Linked DNA regions of Bombyx mori. The protein of the gene in region 1 purifies or fractionates together with the protein of each later gene. This does not show direct contact. Links are inferred from orthologs where the notes say so. Each region holds a gene or a part of one and is shown on either strand. Other genes may lie near its edges.

Evidence for each region. The genes of interacting proteins can lie anywhere in the genome.
Region 2: the proteins of neuralized-like protein 4 (region 1) and centrosomal protein of 97 kDa purify together in Homo sapiens (affinity purification with western blotting; 4 studies listed by BioGRID and IntAct, with this or other methods). This does not show direct contact. The link is inferred for Bombyx mori from reciprocal best matches to the Homo sapiens genes NEURL4 and CEP97.

Annotation. Positions count from the first base shown.
Region 1 is NC_085107.1:10,103,281-10,106,937, forward strand, and holds part of neuralized-like protein 4, read left to right. Parts: intron 1-392; coding exon 393-578; intron 579-1,388; coding exon 1,389-2,358; intron 2,359-3,411; coding exon 3,412-3,583; intron 3,584-3,657. UniProt on the Homo sapiens protein: Promotes CCP110 ubiquitination and proteasome-dependent degradation. By counteracting accumulation of CP110, maintains normal centriolar homeostasis and preventing formation of ectopic microtubular organizing centers.
Region 2 is NC_085120.1:10,929,508-10,933,164, forward strand, and holds part of centrosomal protein of 97 kDa, read left to right. Parts: intron 1-167; coding exon 168-377; intron 378-946; coding exon 947-1,484; intron 1,485-1,868; coding exon 1,869-1,990; intron 1,991-2,609; coding exon 2,610-2,698; intron 2,699-3,424; coding exon 3,425-3,559; intron 3,560-3,657. UniProt on the Homo sapiens protein: Acts as a key negative regulator of ciliogenesis in collaboration with CCP110 by capping the mother centriole thereby preventing cilia formation. Required for recruitment of CCP110 to the centrosome.

The DNA.
Region 1 (3,657 bases):
GTAATCTCTGCGAATGCATGCGGCATTTATTTAGTAGAAATGGTGTGAAGTTTTGTAATATTGTGGAGTATTTGCCTTATTTTTAGTACTACCGAAGTCAGGTTTTTTGAACTACTCAATCGGTGGCTTCCACCATCCATAGACAAACAACTATGGCGGCTTTGCCTGAAAGAAAAAGTCAGAATATGTTAATTCTAGAATGGCAATACAAAATCTAATCTTCTTCTGATACTAATATTAATATTTTTTTTTGTTCTGGTGGCTGATGACTCTATGGTACCAACCACATAACTTATAACAGTATAAGTCCCCTTAGATGTCGAGATCAAAAAATAAGTGCTAAAATTCGTCTACTATTACTTGTTGGTATTAAAGAATCATTATCGTTTTAGATAAAGACAAAGAGAGGTGCACCTTTAGACAACTTGACGGAGCAGTCGGTGCTCACTATACACTTCAGGCTGAACAGCGACATTGCCGTGGACATCGACTCGGAGCCGCTCGGAGTCATCGGCGCTGTTTCAAGGAATGCTTGTCACGTCTTCCCCCTGATCGATCTTTACGGTCGCGTCACTCAAGTGAGTACGAGTTTGTATTATCGATTCGAATCGATCTTAATGCCGTGCGACCCTAGCTAGACCAGGGGTCACTAATTAGCTTAGTTCGGAGTCTGTTTTAAGAAATGAAATGACAATCGCGCAACGCCGTACATTTTATAAAAAATATATATATATATTTAGTAATCAAATGTACGGAAATAACAAAGGTATTTTTTTACATATAAATGATAAAAATGAAATATTTTTGAAACGGACTATCTGTCTGAAGTTCGGAGAAAAATTAGTGCAAGATATTTTAATTAATTCCCAGAGATGTTCATCAGTAAGTCGAGATCGAAATTTATTCTTGATGAAGTTCATTTTCGAAAATGTTGCTTTACAAAATTATCTAGAACTCTTCACTGGAAATTTCCGTGCATAGTAGTACGAGTTGCTGTGTTTTCGCGGTCCACACAAAATCGATCAGCGGTCCGGATGAAGACCGCGGTCCGCAATTTGATGACCCCTGCCCTATTATATAGATACTATATAGTCCGGACTATATAATCCGGCTATGAATCAGTATGACTGAACCCAGCATTCTTCAAGCCACTACTACCCTGCAATCTGTCTATAACCGATTTAACCTGTAAACCTTGTTTAGCTTTCCCCGTTTTTTTTTGCAATGGAGTACTGATGGTAGGGCATATTGTGAGCCCTTGTAGGTTAGTACCACTGTCCTATTCGTTTCTGGTGCAAAGAAATCATGCGTTCTGATTTATAAGACCGGTAACGCTACAAGGATAACCGCCATTTCAGCTTAATTAAAACCTCGAATTCAAATTCTAGGTGTCTGTACTGTTGCATCCTCACGTGGTCGTGAGCGGCACTTCGATCGACCTACCCATCATAGCTGAAAATCAAAGAGAAGAATCGATGTCGGATCTCGACATGAATGAAGAACCAACTCGTGAATTATTCGAAACCAATTTGACCGAAATGCGAATCCGTCGAAAACTGAAAGCCTATAGCCACGACAACCTCATCGAGGACGAGCTGGAACCTATCGCGGCTCAGCCCGGACCCAGCTCCCGACGCGATATCCTGCCTCTAGAATGCATTCCGCTCAGTAACTTCGAGACGAAGAATCCAGCGATAAGACGCAAGAGACAATGTCCCAATCAGCTCTCTTTACACCAAAGCCTGATAATGTCAGACAATACGATGTCGTCAAACAGCTGTGATACATCTACATCGTCGCGCTTCATTCACAAGAGTCATTCCTCTCATAATTTTAGTCTGATACAAGACGATATCGAACTAAAGGTGTTACGTCATACGTACAGTGTAGGCTCACAGATAGCGGATCACTCGGACAGCTTGTCGCACGGACAGTTTTACGATACGAACATTCGCCATAACGATCGGTATCCCGAAGCGAACGATGTCGATAATTTGGATAATGAGATAATGGACGCTCTCACTTTGGAAACTGGTAATTTGCCTGATCTAACCGAAGAGCAATCGTCGTCTTTAGATGAATCGACGCGCCGCGACGAGCTATGGTCCGAGCAGCTATCTATTGAGAACTTGAATTACCTCAATCGCATCTTGTGCTTCGATCAAGAGATGGACGAAGGTCAGAGCTTGGAGTCCGAGTGGGAAGCGTCAGGCGAAGGCTGTGAGCACTTGCATCTTGTTTTGAAGTATTGGAACTTTTTGGTTTGTCCGTACCCTGAACTTCGAAAGGCGGTGTCCTGGGGCCAGGTACGGTGCTACTGCAGTAACTGCCAACCGGACTTACTGCCTCCGTTTGCTGGTTAGTATGTATTGCATTGTCATGAATTTGAATTTTTTTTTTATTGATAGATGGGTGGACGAGCTCCCAGCCCACCTGGTGTTAAGTGGTTACTGGAGCCCACAGACATCTACGACGTAAATGCGCCACCCTCCTTGAGATATCAATTCTAAGGTCTCAGTATAGTTACATGTATTAGTAGAATTCTACTAATAAAGTACAGTTTATTAGTAGAATTCTACTAATAAAATCACCCGAAACCGGTCGGGGGCAAGGTGACGAGTTTTACGTAAAGTATATACATTCTCTTGCCCACTGGACACTGAGTTGGTGGTCGCCGGGCCTTAGCAAATATTTTTATAATATTTATACATAATATTGTATGAAATATTCACAACCAATTCATTCCTTGTATGTTTATGCGTTTGTGTAGATTGAATCACACAACGCCGAAATTAACTCGAACATGGAAACAATTAAATAGGTAAATTCTCAAATCATCACTAATTAATTATCATCATTAATTTACCGGTGATATGACCTCTTTTGAGTCTTTTGAGTCCGCACGGGTAGGTACCACCACCCCGCCTATTTCTGCCGTGAAGCAGTAATGCGTTTCGGTTTGAAGAGCGGGGCAGCCGTTGTAACTATACTGAGATCTTAGAACTCATATCACAAGGTGGGTGGCGGCATTTACGTTGTAGATGTCTATGGGCTCCAGTAACCACTTAACATCAGGTTGGCTGTGAGATCGTCCACCCATCTAAGCAATAAAAAAAACAATAAACAAAAGAGTATATATGCGTGTGTGTGTCAAAAACATGGTAGTGTGTACAATGTTTTTCTTATTAATTTAGTGTATTTTTAATGCATAATTTCGAAAAAATATTAGCATTCTGCACTCCTTCTCTATATAAACTATAAGCGTGGGAAATTTCATACTCCTCCGTCCGCGAAATTTTCGTTAAAAGAGATACAAAGTTTTTGCTTCACGTAATAATTTAAAGATATGTCAACTATCGAATACGTTTGGCGTGTACTATTAGGTTTTATAATACCTTGTTAACAATTCAGGTTGGGTTCGCATCGAGCGTATAGACGGTGTGGGAGCGGCTCAGCGTGGCTTCTGGAACGTGTCGAGGAACATTCTGGGTTCAGCGCAGGCCGCGCACGGGGAGAGCGGCTCGGTGCGAAGACCACGTGCTCTAGTAGACGTACCCTGCACATCGACTTCGTTCTCTGACATGTGACTATCTTTTTAACACGCTTCTATTATACTTTGGTAGGCAGCGGCTTGGCCCTGCCCCTGGCATTGCTGAA
Region 2 (3,657 bases), on another chromosome or scaffold:
TTCAGAAGAAGTCAGTGCCTTTGTTACTCAGTCTATCAGTCCGCTGCTATGCGATCCAGCCGAGCCCGTCTGGTGGCCCATGAAAAAACTCAGTTTGAAACTCAGTAACCACGCTCAGTCAACCGCCATATTCAACAGTATTTAAAAAGTTGTTGTGTCGAACACAGCTCGCATAACGTCGAGGTACGTGGGCCGTTCGCCGGACCGCCTGAGCTCGAGCTATCACGCGGCTTTATCTAGGAACGGGTCCCCTTCGAACATGAGCTCGTCTTACACTGGCGATCTGCCAGGCCTCTCCTCCATGAGCCAGAGCTTCGACTCCACTGGTCTTATGTATGCGCTCGAGAAGAACGGACCAGTCAAAGAGAAGACGTTAGGTGAGTTTGTTAGGATCGTATCGTTGGCTTTGTGGTCATTTCCCTTTATTTCCAATTCGAAATCCGGCCGGAGTTCAAGATTTACTGGAGTTTTACTAGTGGTAGGACCTCTTGTGAGTCCGCGCGGGTAGGCACCATCACCCTGCCTATTTCTGCCATGAAGCAGTAATGCGTTTCGGTTTGAAGGGCGGGGCAGCCGTTGTAACTATACTTGAGACCTTAGAACTTATATCTCAAGATGGGTGGCGCATTTACGTTGTAGATGTCTATGGGCTACAGTAACCACTTAACACCAGGGAGGCTGTGAGCTCGTCCACCCATCTAAGCAATAAAAAAAAAGAAATAACCCATAGACACAGCCCGCTGAGTTTCTCGCCGGATCTTCTCAGTGGGTCGCGATTCCGATTTGGTGGTAAATTCTCCCAAACACTGCTCTTGCTAGGGCTAGTGCTAACAAACTCTCTCAGGTTCAACTCGAGAATGCACCTACCCGGCCGGGCGTAGCTAGAATAGCCCCTTAGGCTAGGGCCAGGCTACTTTTGTCTAATCTAATCAAAAATCTATTACAGAACAACCCCCAACACCGAAGCCGGTTAACCAGTCACTGGAGGCTGCATCCAAAATGGTTCCCGTACCGGAATCCCTCATGAGTCCAGACTACCAGGACCCCATCTACGACATACAAAAGACGATACCCAAACAGCACAACTCTGCGAACAGCGCCTCCTCGCACTCCAGCAACAGCAGCGCACAGGAGGACCGGCCCAAGCTGACAAGGAACACGAGAGGCTCGCCGAAATTAACCAAAAGCGCCACTTCCTCGCCGAAGTTAAGGTCCAAAGTCGAACGAAAGGGCAGCTTGACCAAGCTGGACGTGAAGAACTCTGACAAAATGAACGGAGTGAACAGTGACGTCATAGAGCAAGACAAACTGGAGATTATCAAGTTGGCTTCAAATCAGCGGAGACAGAAGAAGATGAGCGTGGAGTCGATGGCTGCGGTCACCATACAGAAGATGTGGCGAGGATACCGGAGCAGGAACCTTAACAAGGACACTCTCAGGATCCTTCATGCGATCCAAGCGGCGAGGGCCAGGCAACACATACAGTTCGTATACCTTACTAACTATCAGGCGACTGAAGGTGTATTATTAGGGGTTTTACCAGTCAAGACAAGACGGAAGATCTAACTGGATTATAATTTAGTTATCATTACGAAGATTGGTTGGGCGTATTGTGGAGTCCGCACCTGCCTATTCTGCCTATTTCTGCCGTGAAGCTTCCATGTGCTCCAGCTTGAAGAGTGGTACAACCAGCATACAGCACAATTGAGACTTCCACTTCATGTCTTAGTCATGTTCGCCTTAAGGATTCATTGTAATGTGTTACTCCTAGACAGTCGTTTAGACCTCGTGTGTCAAGATCAATAACATTGGTCATTTAAAACCACTGTATGAACCAAAGAAATGTTTTTTTTCTCTCTGTTATTTAGAAGACTAACCTGCGACATGGAGGCCACAAAAGCGGCCCTAGAAAGCGAAAGGAAAATACAGCAGCTACAGATGCAAGCTATTAACGCCCTCTGGAAGAAGGTCTCCACTTTACAAGCTTTAGGTGAGCCGGTGTGACCATTGTAGTGACATCGTGAGACGCCTATTTCTGCCGTGAAGCAGTAATGCGTTTTGGTTTGAAGGGTGGGGCAACCGTTGGAACTGTACTGAGACCTTAGAACTCATATCTCAAGATGGGTGGCGCATTTATGTTGTAGATGTCTATGGGCTCCAGTAACCACTTTACACCAGGTGGACTGTGAGCTCGTCCACACCTCTATGCAATAAAAAAAATAAAATAAAAAAGTACATACATTTAGAAAATTCTCAATAATATGTATGTTTTACATGATGTGATTTAATCTTCTTAAGACTTTTTTACTTTTTTTATGGCCACTATTTTTTTAAATTTTGCACCAATTTAAAAAGCTAAATTAAATATTTACAATTAATCAATTTACAATTTAATTACATTTGAGACGTGTACAGAATATATAAATGTATAGGCTAAAGTATCTGTTTGAATAAAGCCAATGATGATGAAGTAATTTAGAACAAAGAAAAATCAAACTTATTTGATTAAAAATCAGTTTTCTGTAATCAGCTAATCTATTCCTCGAAATGATTTTAAATTTTTCAATTAATGAAAATGGAAAATGTTTATTGGTGTCATTTTTTTGTAGATGGCAAACACAAGAACATGTCAGATTGCGATGAGAACACGGATGTACTGCGGCAGTTGTCAGAGAGATGTATCAACCTACAGGAACAGGTAAGTTTAATAAAATTAAAGATCGCCATAGGCTTTTTGGCTACTACTGTGTGCTCAGTGCGAGTTTTTTAACGTTCTCGATAGCATAAAAGTTAACTCAATTTGTATGCGGATAGAACAGTGCCCCTAGCGGCAAACGTAGGCGAACGTTTCAACTCCATACAGATTTGAGTGAACTTTCACGCCATCGCGAACGTTAAAAAACTTGCACTAAGCACACTGTTGGTACCAGGCGAGCTGATCGAATGAACGAACGAGTGAGTGAATGGAACATAAACACTGAGTGAACAAAAACAACTGAGAGTTACTACACTACCGGGCGGACTACGAATTAATTTATTGTACAGGGGACTTTTTGGCGGGAACGCGAGGAGTGAAGTTGGGTGATTTGTTTTATTTAGTCTATTTAGTGTTCCTTCAGGTTTAAATGTGTAGTTTTTTATTAACTGTTTAGTATCTGTAAAAGTGCACAAACATGGGAAAATGAAACAAACCCGCTAAACATAACTTCTCGGGATCCTCCAAAAAGTCTCAGTAAATGACCACCATTTAACTGAGATTATATTTCATTCTATATCATTCCATCTGCTTTAATTTCATTTCATAATATCATTTTTTATATAAAAAAGTTTTCATTAAAATTAAAATAAGACTTGACCTTAGTTACCAGGTCTTAGTTACCAGGTCATAATATTCATTAAATTTTTTTTTATGTTGCTTTTGCAGGTGGTGGAGTTGCAGAGTTGCATGCGCGAGGTGCTGCGCGCCGTGACCCCCGCGTCCCGCGCCGCGGCCCCCGCCCCGCCCCCCGCCGCGCCCGTCGCCACGCAGACTGACGTCACTGCCGTCCTCACGCCGCAGGTGTGTGGCCGTACACGCGCACGCACGCACACACACACATTGTTACCAGTCCTAAAGCATTTCGATTATCACTTTACATGTTTATTGAATTGAAGTAA